3 linked regions of the Neurospora crassa OR74A genome follow. The protein of the gene in region 3 purifies or fractionates together with the protein of the main gene of each other region. This does not show direct contact. Links are inferred from orthologs where the notes say so. Each region holds a gene or a part of one and is shown on either strand. Other genes may lie near its edges.

Evidence for each region. The genes of interacting proteins can lie anywhere in the genome.
Region 1: the proteins of rpa-1 (region 3) and NCU02011 purify together in Saccharomyces cerevisiae (affinity purification with mass spectrometry; 5 studies listed by BioGRID, with this or other methods). This does not show direct contact. The link is inferred for Neurospora crassa OR74A from reciprocal best matches to the Saccharomyces cerevisiae genes RFA1 and KAP95.
Region 2: the proteins of rpa-1 (region 3) and mei-3 purify together in Saccharomyces cerevisiae (affinity purification with mass spectrometry; 4 studies listed by BioGRID, with this or other methods). This does not show direct contact. The link is inferred for Neurospora crassa OR74A from reciprocal best matches to the Saccharomyces cerevisiae genes RFA1 and RAD51.

What each region holds. Positions count from the first base shown.
Region 1 is NC_026501.1:1,681,229-1,685,939, forward strand, and holds the start of NCU02011 (importin subunit beta-1), read right to left. Parts: upstream 3,158-4,711; 5' UTR 2,556-3,157; coding exon 2,504-2,555; intron 2,379-2,503; coding exon 2,320-2,378; intron 2,239-2,319; coding exon 1,432-2,238; intron 1,378-1,431; coding exon 1-1,377. UniProt on the Saccharomyces cerevisiae protein: Importin beta subunit that functions in nuclear protein import through association with the importin alpha subunit, which binds to the classical nuclear localization signal (cNLS) in cargo substrates.
Region 2 is NC_026501.1:3,388,237-3,392,656, reverse strand, and holds mei-3 (MEI3), read right to left. Parts: upstream 2,542-4,420; 5' UTR 2,324-2,541; coding exon 2,228-2,323; intron 2,167-2,227; coding exon 2,019-2,166; intron 1,947-2,018; coding exon 1,129-1,946; 3' UTR 858-1,128; downstream 1-857. Other genes in the region: NCU02742 (hypothetical protein), read right to left, coding at 1-254; NCU02740 (hypothetical protein), read right to left, coding at 3,364-4,257, 4,346-4,399. UniProt on the Saccharomyces cerevisiae protein: Required both for recombination and for the repair of DNA damage caused by X-rays. Its function may be modulated by interaction with other repair proteins. RAD52 interacts directly with RAD51, via its C-terminus.
Region 3 is NC_026505.1:1,821,825-1,826,623, reverse strand, and holds rpa-1 (replication factor-A protein 1), read right to left. Parts: upstream 3,096-4,799; 5' UTR 2,859-3,095; coding exon 2,827-2,858; intron 2,766-2,826; coding exon 2,505-2,765; intron 2,444-2,504; coding exon 1,004-2,443; intron 943-1,003; coding exon 843-942; 3' UTR 416-842; downstream 1-415. Other genes in the region: NCU03605 (amidohydrolase), read left to right, coding at 3,686-4,604, 4,667-4,799. UniProt on the Saccharomyces cerevisiae protein: As part of the replication protein A (RPA/RP-A), a single-stranded DNA-binding heterotrimeric complex, may play an essential role in DNA replication, recombination and repair.

The DNA of each region.
Region 1 (4,711 bases), on a different chromosome or scaffold from region 3:
GGCGTCCATAATACCCTCACGGAGAGAGATCACATAGTCGAACATCTCATAAGAGCCCTCGGCGGAAGCGGTAACGGTAGCAGCCTGCTGAAGGACAACAGCAACAACCGAGAGGTAAGCCTCAAAGTGACCGCCAATAGCGCCAGCAATATCGCCGAAGCACTGCAAGATTGCAGGCTTGAACTGGTTGGCAAGAGCAGTGCTCCTAAGATTGTTAAGGAGATAGTTCATGAACTGATCGCAGTATGGCTGGCTGCGTTCGCCCATGGAGCGAGTGATATCGCTGACCAGGCCGATAGCCATGGAGCAGAGACTCGGCTCTTCCTGGTTTGCCAGGGCATTGTACAGGAAGGGAGCAAAAGCGTCCATGTACTTGGCAAAGTCCTCCTCCATGGCGTTCGCAAGGCCGCTGATGGCTGCGAAGACACCTTCAGGAACAGCCGACTTGCCATTAATAGTGTTCAAGAGCTGAAGCAGAACCTGCATGATGCGGTCGCCTTGGGGAGTGATCTCCTTGTCCAGGCGCTGAATGATTGCCTGGAGCACGGTGCAGAGACTGGTCTGCATATCCTCGAGAGTGATCTTGTCTTCAACGCTGACAACTTGGGATTGCAGGGGCAGTGTTTCCTCCAAACGTTGAAGGATAACATCCGAGAGGGATGCAACAGCAGGGAGACTGTCGTTGGCAGCATTCTGCACAAACACGTTAAGAACCTCGTAGGCAGCGGTGCGAACTGTAGCGTCACCGTCAAGCTTCGCCGTCACGGCGAGCAAGTTGGTCACGCACTGGTTGAAGTGAGGAGTAATGGGGTTTTGCGCGGCACCATATTCGCCGCCAAAACGCTCCGCGAGGTTCATCAAAGCCCAGCAGCAGGACGCGGCCATTCTGGGGCTGCTCATGAGGCCGTTGAACAGGGAGGTGATCAAGGGGTCAAGGTGAACAGCAGGATCGATCACTTCCGAGCAAGTTTCTGTAATTCTGCCAAGAGCGTATGCGGTCGAGTCACGAACATGTAAAGAGGGGTCCTCCATCATGCCGATCAAGGGCTGCATGCCAGACTTGACGATAGGCTCAAGCAACTTCTCCTCGGGGCCGTCCATCATGGCACCGAAAGCAGAAACAGCGGCATCACGGAGGTGCCAGTCGTCAGCGCGAAGGTTGGCTTCAACGAACTGGATGACTGGCTGGATGATTGCCGCACCAACAGCCTGAGAATAGAGTTGGAGACACTGGTACGCGGCACGCGAAATGTTGTACTCGTCATCAGCCGCATCCTCATCTTGCTTGGTGAGGAGCTGTAGGAGCACAGGGACCACTTCGAGTGTAGCAACGCGGGCGAAGTTGTAGAAGGGGCGCATCTGCTCCGAGCTCTCAACCTGCAGCTGTTGTTAGTGGGATTCTTGCTCAACCAAGGTGGCAGTGAAACGTACCTGAGCATTGTCATCTTCGATAGCAATCTCCTCTTCGCAAACGGTACTCCAGAACTCAACTGCAAGCTTGGCCACATCCTCGTCATCGCTCTTCATGCCCAGGATGGTGAGACCAAACAAAGCCTTTTCCATGTAGAAGCGCATGTTCTCGTAGTAGAGGGCCATGATGCGGTTGAGGCAACCATAAGCACCCTGCTGTATCCGAGAGTCCTCGGCCTGTGTCGCCTCGCAAATAACCTGCATAATGTAGTTGCGCTCGCCCTCATGCTTAAAGTTGTTACCGACAAACTCAAGAGAGTCGCCGAGGGCGGTAATGGCGGCAAGTCGAACTTCGCGGTTGGGCTCCTCCTTACGAGCACCTTGGACAACAGCTGTGAGGATGGCATTGGAATGTTGAACCAGGCTGTTTCGTAGATCGACATCTTGACTCTCGCAGATGAAGCCGATGGTGGTCAGAGAGGCCTGCTTCTGGTGCTCGCTTCCCTCGCTAACATTCTTGACCAGGGCGTGCATAAGGTCTGGCCACTCGTTTCGTGGTAACTCGATGGTAGCGATAGCCGCGATAACCTGCGCCGAGGCCTGGCTTGCCTGGGTACTGCTGGAGGCGAGGGTCTCGAGGGTGAGCTGTTTCACCCGTGTCTTTGTGTCTTGGTCTGTCTGCTGAAGCCATTTTGCTTGGAGCTCTGCTTGCCTAGCGAACTCGCGAGCACTGAAGGCGTTCTTGAGGGCGATACCGGCCGCCGCTCGGATGTGGCTCTGGGCGCTCTCATTTGCCAACTCTTGGACAAGTGTCACGAGGTATTGAGACTAAGAAACAGCCAAGTTAGCGTTTATGAAGGCCTTGCTGTGGGGACGCGACACAGGAGCAACGAGGGGAGGAGGCCATACGAAGTTTGTCTGAGCGGCTTGGCTGAGCTGCTGTTCGGCAGCATGTCGCAGGGTCGCGTCTAGAGACAAGGAGTCAGCATGTGCGTCACGGCTTGGACGAGCTGACGCGATTCATCATGGCGAGAGCGGCTGCCAAAAGGCAGGAGGGTCGGGGCATGGGTGAGGATGTCGAATATATACTGACCAGGACTCAGCGAGTTGGTGAGGACGGTGTTGATATCTGAAGAGCCCTCCATGGTTGCGGTTTGGATGCCTGGTTCGGAGGAAGAACGGGTCTCTCTCCAGCAAACGAAGCGGGTTGGCGGTGGTAGTGGGAGAAGAGGGAGGGGGGGGGTTTCCGAAAGGGAGAGAAAGTCGGCCTGGGCTTGATGCAACTAAAGTTTTGCTGCGTGGAACAAGCGGGGGGCGGGAGTCCAAGGTTCACGGTCCACAGCAACCTTGAATCTTAATCGGGGCAAGACTCGATTTGCTTTCGGTGAGATCAGATCGAACCGCAGAGGCGAGGCGCAGATGCAGAGCCGTGGGTGGGATCTGGATGCCAGGTGATGGCGGTTGGTGGATGGATGGTATCGATGCGGTCCGTCTGGAGACGATTGCGATGGGGATAGAGAGGGATGGATGGGGGATGGCGATGCGAGGGGTTTGTCGCTGTTCCGAGCGTTCGCCTGCAAGTGGAAGGAGAGAGGAGAATCCAGACACAGTGCAGTGCTGACGCCGAACTGCGGGTCTTGTTTTGCTCGAAAATTTTGTCAACAATCGCAGGTGCTGATGCTTCGCCGTGCTGGTGAAGGTGCAGGTGGGTGGGTTGTGTATGCTTTCAGTTTCGATGCTGTCCGGCTGGGGGGGGGGGGGGGGGGGGTGTTGTTGCCTGTTGTTGTTGGGAGGGACGGGAGCCTGTAACGTATCCCAGTACCTAGTGCTGTGTTTGGTGTTACCTTCGTCGCCTGGCTCGTGCGGTTTCTTCGCTAAACTTTTGCTGACCAGGCCTGAAAGGTCGACGGGAATGCTCGCCTGCACCAAACGGCTCGCTCCGTGTTTCTCGGGAAAGAAGGAATTAGACGTCTCACTGCAGGAAACGACTTGGGAAGAAGGGACAATGAAATGCAAAACCTCTGCAAACACTTCAAGAAGACGCTTTGCCCACGGGCAATTGAACAAAGTTTTAGGATAAAGAACATCTGTCCTTTCATGTGAAGTGGAAGTAAAAGATGGCACATGGTGTACCTAGGTACCTATGATGGATGTCTCCAAGAACACAACTGAGGTGGCCAGGCTCCCACGACGCCCAAGGCTCAGTGCTTCACTACTAGCAACTACACCCTACCCGGCAACCGCAGGGCTGCTAGACGTTGAACGGGGGTCCAGGTGCCGCATTTGAAGTGGAGGGCTGAAGGCCGGGGGGTCGTGGAAAAGGGAGGGTGAGAGAAGTGACGTTTCTATCCGCTTCCAGATGTGCACTGTATCTTTTCTTAGGCGTTACCACCAACTCTACAGAAACTTACCAACAACAGTTACCTGCGGACCAAGGTTGAGAGACCTATCCTCTATGACGCACACCCCCTCCCCGCCCAGATTGTGGTCTCTCTTAGTTACAACTGAAGTACCTACCTACGTATAATGTTGCTTCCCTGGCGCTTGTTCAAAGGTCCCTGCCTGCCTGGCCGGCTGCCAGACAAGCCAGACTTCCATGCTAACAGGCAAAAGGAGATGGGGCTCTCATCGGCATTGGCTGCCTAGGCTAGCAGTGACTTCCCTCCCTAATATGTAGGGGGTCTCTGAAATCCAAGAAGCCCCCATCCCTTTTCTTCCAGAACACCCGTCAACAGAAAGCGTTGTGGATGTAGTGACCACTTCTAAACTGTTAGATAAAGAACGCTCCTTGTCGTACCAGTTAATACCTACCTACCTAGCGATTATAAGAAGGTACCACAGATTCACGATCAAGCTCCCTCTCCAGCATCCCTCGGGGATTGCTGTGTCGTCCGTATAAGTCTTCCCACCAAGATAAATACCTGCACTTAATAAGGGACAGCCAACGGCTATTTGGTTGGGTTTCCAGGGCCTACACTAAGACAGAAAACACTCGGCCTCCATTACCGTTACTGTTTTATAAAGTGCATAACAGACTATTTTGCCTCCCTTCCATAAGCGTGTTCTGGATGCATATCTCGTCCATGGCCTATCCTTACTCAATAGCAGACCCCCTCCTTCCCCGGTGTTTCACCCGAAAGGCCGTGCAACAAGGTGGGAGAGATGAGAGGCAATGTTGTCGAAGTTTTGCTAGTATGGAAGCAGCAGACAAAGAATGCATGAGCTGAGTACCAGAATAGCATGAAGCATCTGATTTTGATATCTTTCATTCTCGGGCCCAGGCAGGCCGGGTTCATCTTCG
Region 2 (4,420 bases), on a different chromosome or scaffold from region 3:
ACCCGCCAATGGAAAGCACGGGGCGAGGCATGGTGCTTTCGGTAGTATACTGATGAGGCAGTGGCTATGTTACGGGTTCGGTAGGCCTTCTCGTCGTCGGCGGCGTTGATGGCACGCGCGCTTGCTGTTGTCGACCTGCTGAAGGAGCTCTGGTTGTGCGATCCGACGCGGATCTGGACAATCGACGACGACGTGGACGGCTCGAGGTTAAGGCGCGTCTCTTTGTAGAGAATCTCAAAATCCCGTGCGCTCATTTTGTTCCCATGGGTATCTTCCGGTGCGGTATAGGAAATGTTGAGAGTTTGCTGTCGCGCTTTTTGGAGATGCAAACGCGGTTGTTGCTTTTGGCTTCAGAATTTCTGGCCGCCCACTGCAGCAGAAGTTCAACTGTTCAAGTTCCCAAGCACAGCGCAACGCTGCAAGCGTCGGTAGCAGTTGCAGCGGGTCAGTCAATCGCTGGCGTGGTTGGTGGGGAAACTCGGTGCTAAGCCCAAGTATCCCGCGCTAGTGAGAGACTATGCGAATAGGACACACTGCAAGGTGGTACGTCACATCAAGAAGGAAGCAATAGCCTTTGAAATCCGCGATTTTATTAACAACGCTAGATGGATGATAGCCCTTAATCTGTAACTTCAAGTCACAGAGCGTACCTTTTGTCCTGACACATTCCCTCGAAGATTATGTGGTGCATGGCCTGTTGCATCACGAGTATGGACGACAGCAACTTGGATTTCAATGAAATTTCCTTCACGTTAACGAGAGCTTCAGCTTCGGTGGTGAGGTCTTTGGATGATCAAACCTGTGACACTTGCCCTCAGCATCGAGACGCTGCTTCTGCACAGGTCAAATGATCAGTTGGCGAGATGACTTTGACGGCTTCACTTCGTCGATTGTATTAGAAAAAAAAAACAGTGTACCGTAGTTATTGATAACTCTACCAACTCCCAAGTTTTACCAGTCATACCAGACAAGTGTGACGCCAGGCTGCCCTCCCATGCTAACAATAAAAACGCGCTATGCCCATCAAAAACACACATTATCCTTATACCGTCAAATCAGCAGCCCCTTGCGTCCCTAGATTGTTGTATGAATTTCGTGTTGATTTGCTGTCGCCATCCCCACTGCAAACTACTGATTCATCTTCTCCATATCCTTCGGGCTAGGATCACCAATGCCGTCCTCGTTGATGGCAAACAAGCAGTCGCTCTCTGGTAAACATGGGCTGTCGTAGATCTTTGCGATTCTGGTCTCTCCGCGACCCTTCTTCAGGCTGATGCGAGTAGTACTGGCGTGCGCAATGATGTTGCCACCAATTGGTTTTTTGGGGTCTGGATTAAACATGGCAGACGGACCACCATCAACCTGCGCCACGACCTGATTGGTGATCACCACCGCAATACCAAACTCGTCGGCAAGGCGCTGGAGTGTGCGCATAAACTTTGCGAGATGGGTTTGGCGGGAACTGAGTTCGCCACGACCCAAGAAGTCCGTTCTGTAGAGCGAGGTCGCGGAGTCGACAATCAACAGACTGAAGCGGGTCTCGCACATCATGGCTGCGGCCTGGTTCAAGAGCTGCAGCTGATGGTCCGAATTGTAGGCTCTTGCGTACGCAACGTTGTCAAGAACTTCTTCGCCTGAGAGACCGTATCGGTTGGCCACTGCTAGGAGACGCACAGGCCGGAAGGTACCTTCAGTGTCGATGTAGAGACATTTTCCCTCACCACCCCCCATGTCAAATGGGAGCTGGCATGTTACCGCAAGAGTATGGCAGATCTGCGACTTTCCTGTTCTGAACTCTCCAAAGATTTCGGTGACACTGCCGGTCTCGATACCACCAGCCAATAGTGTATCCAGATTTTTGGAGCCTGTCGTGATGGAAATCAGTTCGCTGCGGCGCTGGTGCATCTCCGTCGCAGTAGTAAAACCCATAGGCACAAGTTTAGAGGCTTGATGATAGTGTCAGTAATCATGCACTCCCAAAATGGAACCTCTAGGAATGTCAAATGCTGGCTACTGACCTTCTGCCAGGATTTTCCCTGCCTTTTGCTCCGAAATACCTTTGATCTGCTCCAGTACCCTCCGGGGGGTATAGGCAACAGATTCAACGGTGTTGAAGCCTCCATCAACAATCAGCTGAATGTCTCGCTTGGTAAGTCCGGCAACACCCTAGGCAAGTCAGTTGGTTGTTTGCAATCCGGATGGATCCATCAAAGAAAGTGATCCGTACCTCTAGAGCAGAAAGTGGTGTTGGGGCGCCTGGGTTTGGTATCCCGCTGTCGTCCTCCATGTTGGCAGACTCATCGTACTCCTCGTTGTTCGACATCGTGCTATTTGTTGTGCTCTTCGGTGCAACAATTTCGGGGTTTCTTTACGTTTAGTGATGGTATGTATGACCAGCAGCGAGCGAAAACGTCTTGGATATGGCCACAGAAAAGCAAGACAGAAAGGCGCAAGAAGAAAAAAAAGCGAGCGGGACTGGAGCCAAGGATACGCAAATGTTGACAGAGGCGAAAACAGCAGGCAAGAGCGCGACCCGCGTCCTACAAATTGGGGAAGTGCGACACGTTAACATGTGACCTGGATGACCAATCCAGCCCAGCATGCGGGATACTAATAAGGTACCTACTAGACACCATTGGCCCCGCCGGATGCCTAGATTCAGTGGAGCCCAGACGGGAATGACGGAGGCGACAGGATGGTTCCCCTGTGGGGTCCGCTACAACGAACCGAACGGTCACCCCTGGGGGTTTGTCACTTCATGCCAATTCCGTACACCACAAACACTATGGTACTCCCCGTCAACATTGTCACAGGCGTCTTCGTATTTACGGCGTACACCGATACAGAGATACAGTTTTCATGCTATTTTATTCCTACTGCCCTCTGTCCGAGAACACCCTATCCAAAGAGGAGACAACAACTCTTGCTCATTAGGTTCTCGACGCGGCCGCCTCTTCCGAGTTTTTGCCACCTCGGTTTCTAGGACCAAGTATCACAGTCATTTAACGACGTCTGCCGCCTGTGTCCCATTTGAACAAATCTCAGGGAACACCCACAAAAGAAAACCGCAAGAATGGCCCAACAATGCAACTTTTGGAGAGGCCGATGTATGCTCCTCACTCACTACCTCCATCCATACCCAGACACACGACTACCCTGGCTAATTACCTCACCATCTTCCCTCCCCCCCCTTGCGGACTGTTAAGATGCGTCATGGTTTATCCTGGGCTCTATACCCGGTGTTCCAAGCCTTCCCACAGGTAGGATGTCAAAACCCGTCATCGACTCTCCGAGCAGCAGATCTGTTGTTAGGTGTAAAATGCAAATTCCTAGGCCCCAAGGTCGGCTCAGGGGCAGTGATTATCATGGGCTTCGTATCCTCCTGCTGTGCTGCTGATATATCACCTGCAAGGAGGGAGTGCCAAAGGGATCACCGACGGCGACATCTCTTCTTTCAGCTCCTCTTGGCTCATACAGTCTTTCCCCTCCTTCGCCGCCGCTGGATGAGTTATAGGATCTTCCACTGTCGCTTCTCGGTAACCGCTGATGGGCAGAATCAGCGTAGGAGTCGCCTGATTTAGAATCAGTGATTTGCTGGTCTCGCCTGGTAGGACCACCAATGTGCCCATCCCGGGCCTCTTGTTGTCGTTGGGAGTTTCTGGTCGGCACATAGATGTCATGGACTGCTGGTCTTTGTGGCGGCTGTGCTCCTCCGTCTTGGCCTTCGAGTCTGCGGAGGGTATCTTCGTTCAAAGCATGGGGAACCCGCAAGCCGTGGCGACGAGGGTAATCATGCCTCTGGTCTCGTGGGATGGGTGGGGGGATTGCCCCTGATGAGGCACTCTCCAACGACTCGGAATCCGTCAGTCCTTGCAAGAGTGAGCCGTCGGGGGTGACAGGGCTTCTTGCCGTTGCCGTGACACCTGCCGCCCCCTTTATCTTCTCCCTCCTCTGCTGCTCCGCGCCCAGATACACCAGCGTCACCGCCGAGGTAGGTTTTGTTTCGGTGGGAGTCGCCGGTCTCGAAATCCAAATGCCGTCAACTTGGACGCCGCTCTGGATCGCCCGGACCCCAAAAGGAATGGTGCTGGCTGCTGCGCGCTTGGAAGAGGTAGGTTGGAGCCCCGTGCTGCGCATGTTATTGATCCGCGCCTTCTTTTCCTCGTCCAAGATCTCCTGTTTTCGTACGATGCGGTTCGTCCACCACAGCTTGACCAAACCGGCGCAGAAGACGGCTACTATCGCTACGGCAAGCGCCTTGGGATAATAGTATCAGCGAACTGCCATCTTCTATACGGGGATTCCGGGCAAAGATGAAGGGTTTAGTATTGGCGTCGTGACTTACAAAGGTCATCTGCTGCCATAGCTCCCATGACATGAATAAAGTTTCCTTGGCCATTTTTGTGTCTCGACTAACTTT
Region 3 (4,799 bases):
AATACGGTTCAAACGTGATTTCAATAGTCTTTTGTTCTAGAACTCGGTGTCAGCTTCCCGCTACATCGAAAGTGGGGGGCCCGAGGGAACGGAGCGGGGGCGGGTCTGGACGGCGGATATGTGGAGTCACGGCAGGGGATCCCGACGACGGCCGATAAGGAAGATACGGCGTTTAGGTTCCTGTCATCCATCTGCGTAATCGATAAGTGCCGATACGGTATCGAGCAGCTAAACAGTCCGCATAGAGACCGGAGCCGGGGTGCCTATTCACATAACGGAAGTTGGAAAGTGAAGAAAGATGACCAGGAAAGGCTGTGCCACGGGTTCTTTGCGTGAAAAAGCTGAAGCATAGAAGAGTTTGAGAATACGAGAGGGTGAAGAAGGCCGATAACGGATGAGATGATCGGATTGCCATGTGGATATTGAGCCCGAAAGGTGCGTATTACATTGCAAGGACCGCCCTGATCCGACCTTGACCAGCTCTGGAGCTTTCTTCTAGTCAACGAAGCGTGTGTACTTACCTCGGCATGTTATCGAAGATAACTCGAACAGGAAGGTCTCCTAGTGTCTCAACTCCAAGATAACGCTTGAGAGACCTATTCAAGTCTGCAATCATGCCGAAATTTGCTGCCACGCCAACAAAGTTCTGTTAGGGTTCGGCCCATCACAGCTCTTAACCATCCCAGTCCATCATGAAACTGCAAATCATCTTTCAGTCGATAGGCCAGTGATGCCCATATCGTTCATCCTTGAGACCACATGCCCGAAAATACAAACACGTGTTCATTAACCATATACATCATCTAGTTCCTCGCATAAGTGAACAAACCCCACCCTCCCCTTTACATGCTCATTTGGTTGTAAGAATTGATGAGCTCGTTAAGCTTGTTTCCTTCCATCTTGTAGTCAAGGGGCGCCACGCTCATGACCTGGTATCGAATCCTGCAACAAGCAATGTGTCAGCAACGTCCATCTAATCGTGAGAATAACCCCCGATACGTACCTCTGCTGTTCACCAAATGTGTCCATCTTCGCCCTGCACCTAAAGTTCAGCTTGCGGCAGTTGGCCTGCTCAAACTCGGCGGGCAACCGCGTCTCGTCGGTCTCTCGAATCTCCATAAGTTCATCGGCCGACTTGCCCATGATGACCCGCGCCGTATCGTCGAAGCAGCTAAGCCAAAGTTGACCTGTGTGGTCGTTGACGTTGACGCTCATAATGTAACGGTACTGAGGTCTATCGTGGTTGATCTGGCACTTCTCGCAGCGCCAGGTACCATCACCCATATCTGTGACCTTCCTGTTACAGCCTTCGCTTCGGCACCCAGGGTAGGCAAAGTTATCCTGCTTGATGAATACAACCGTTGCCTTGAGAGCGAAGTAATCCGGCGCCTCGTTTGTGCCAAGGTTCTCTTCCTTTACTTGTGAGATGGTCTTGGCGTCGTCCTTGCGACCGGTCGCACCACCCAAGGTCTGCATGTTGTTGTGGGTGGCGAAGGTGTTGTTCCTGCCGCTGCTATCATACCAGCCCTTGAGATGATGGGCCTCTGGAATATCCGGATCGATGGCCATGGTGCCAGACGAAAGCAGGGACAAGCTGCGTCCACCGAAATCGCTGACCTTTGTGCCCTTGAAGGCCACAATGGATTCAGGCTGAGCATCAAAGTTCGTGGCCGTCTTACCCCAGATGGTACAACGTACCGAGTACCCAGTGTTGTCAACAAGGGTCAGCTCGCGCTTGTCGTACGGCTTCTGTGTGGTCTTGGATACAATCTGGGTCACCTCTTGGACCTCCTTGAGGACACCAATAATATCGACAGTCGCATCCCTCTCAACATCCTGAAGCTCCTGGATGTTGACAAAGTTGAAGCGTACCTGTGGTACAGATGTCTGGTCTTCGGCCTTTTCGATCACGGTATCCCGCTCAAAGGTGAGCTCGTAGTCATTGGGGAGATTCGACCATTGCTTCTTGGCAAGCTGTACCCTGCAAGGTGTAGAAATGTAGTAAACCTGACCCTCCTGTAGCAAATCATAGAACTGGTCGACTTGGTCGTTGAATCCTGTTGCTCTAATTTCGCCACTCTCGTCAAGAAAGTTGACGCTGAAGAGCTTGCCCTCGCCGCTAGCCTTGTGCCAGGTCTTGATATCGGACTTGGAGGTGACTCTGGCCTTGATGGTCCATTTGTGCGAGAAGGGCGAGAGACCTTCAATAGGATATATCGTGCTTGATCCCTGACCCCCGCTGGCATTACGCGAGGGCATCTGGCGTGGAAACTGTGGTTTCGTGTCTTGGGTAGGTTCGCTCTTGACGCCATAGAAGCCGGTGCTGCCGAGATTGGGGTTCTGCTGTGGTTCTGCACTGCGGGGGCCAAGAGGCTGTGGATCGCCCATCTTTTCGGGACAGCCAAGGGACTGGATAACTTCGAGATCGAGGACAATCAAGATGCTGGATTTAAACAGTCAGTGTTATGGATTTCCCGAATTGGCGGAGGGGTAGATAGGCGTACTTTTTGCCCTTGAGACATTGAGCTTGATACTGCTTCAAGCGCACGATGCAGCCGCGTTGCAGGAGGCCATCGTGAACAAGATGGTTTGTTTGCGTGGCCATCATACATTGGACATAGTTCTTGAGGTCGCTCAGCACAATGCGGAACCTCTCCGTGGCGCCCGCGCCCCCATTCTTGGAGTCGAGGGTCTTGATCTGGAGACATTGAAGGATGGGGACAGGGAACTGTTGTTGTGCGCGATCGGGATCATTGAACATGGCGCTATAGCAAGAAGTCAGAGTCTGTCATACTACTGGATGGAAGCACACGTGAAGAAACCTACTCCAGAGCGCCCTGTGTGATTTGACCCGCCATGTTGGTTGGGTAGTGTTGGCGTCAAGCCCGTGGAGACGTTCTCGATGTTGTTTTTGAGGTTGATTTATGCGTGAGTCGTGTTCGAAGATGCAAGGATTGGGGCGCAGAAGTCAAGAAAGATCCGACAAGATACGGATGGATCGAGTGTGTTGGACTGATGATGATGGTGGTCTGGAGGGGAAATTTCACACAAACAATGGACTGCAGCAGCGACGCGTTTGGCAGCGCGTCGAGGAGGGGCAAGAGTTTAATTGCTAGGCATCCACGGTCCGTGCGGAGGGCCCCAGTTTGTATAGCGCGTGTAGTTTGCGTTTGCCGGGGAGTGTTGCTGCCAAGCGCTTCTGACAAGCATGGCAGTTGCCCGCCAACCCCATATCTCCACATCAAACCCCACCCGAGAGCTCAACTTCAGCAAGTTCCAGGGGCTCAACTTCCCTCTTGGCCTCGTTCACTTCTTAAGCTTTTGGAACATGTCATGATTTCTCTGTCAGGTCTTGCAGATAGAACCCTTTTTGCTAATATATTCGCACAATCATGTGATGACTGTACATAACAAGGGTATCTTTCTTCCGGTGCTGTAGGAAGACGAAAGGGAAAAGGACCTTGGGTTCCTCAAGGAAATGGAAACCGAAGACGGGAGGTAACCATTCTTGATCAGGAACCCTATCTTTGAATCTTTCGGTGTGAATTGTCCCGTCTTGGGCCTGCCCTTTGCATGCCGAACGTACCCCACCTCGTCGTGGTTCCTGGCTGTCTGTGTCGATCCCATCTCCCACCCCCTCCTGACCATCGAGGTACTCTCCTCGTACTGTAGCGCGTGCCTGCCTATGCTAAAACGAATACAAAATATAAGAAGGAGAAGGCTCGATTGGAAGTTCCCCCGTTGCCTCAGTTACATCCCATCCATACCTCTACTTTTGTGTGTTCAGCGTTGGTCTGCCTGCAGGACGGTACACCGCTTCGACGTCCTGACCTTCCTACTTCCTGTCATCTCTGACTTTGCTTGCTTCGCTTGTCTCCTTCTCTTTCTCTATCACTGGATACCTTACTTTCTTGCCAAACATATCCGTCGCTTTACCAAACTCGAGCTCGATAACGGCCTGATCAAAATGGCATCATCTCCCGCCGTTTCCGTTCCCATCATCGACACCCATGTGCACCTCTATCCCCAGTCCGAGGTAGAATCCCACCAGTGGTACGCTGAAGACAATCCTCTCGCCAAGCAGCACTCCATCCAGGAATACCAGACCGCCACCGGTGCGCCTGGCAATCTTCAGGGCTACGTCGCAATTGAGGTCGACCGCAAGAACGACAATGCTAAGGATTGGACTTACCCCCTACAAGAGATCGCATGGCTTCGCCGCATCGTAACCGGCCAACCGAAGCCTGGCGAGGGCCACACGGCTGACGATGGCCGTGATTGTCTCGGAATTGTGCCGTGGGCGCCGGTTGTATTGGGCTCTGCCGAGTTGGAAAAGTATCTCGCAGCTGCGGAAAAGGAAGCCGGGCCTGAAACATGGGCCAAGGTGAAGGGTTTCCGCTACTTGCTGCAAGATAAGCCCAACGGAACAGCCCTAAGTGACGATTTTATCGAGGGCCTGAAGCTGCTTGGCAGAAAGAAGTTCGTCTTTGACCTGGGTGTTGACCAGCACAAAAGAGGGAGAATCCAACTGGAGGAGGCGGTAGAAATGATCGACCGTGCACACGAAGGTGTGGACGAGGAGGACAAAGTGGTATTTATCCTGAGTAAGTTTTTACCTTGACACATTCTGCATGATTTGCTTGCTAACTGATGGTTCTCATCTCAGACCACCTTTGCAAGCCAGATCTAACCATCGTCAATGTACAAACGGATCCCTCATACATCGCCTGGCGCACCGCCATGTTTACTCTCAGCAAGTGCGACCGTACCTACATGAAACTGAGCGGCTGCTTCAGCGA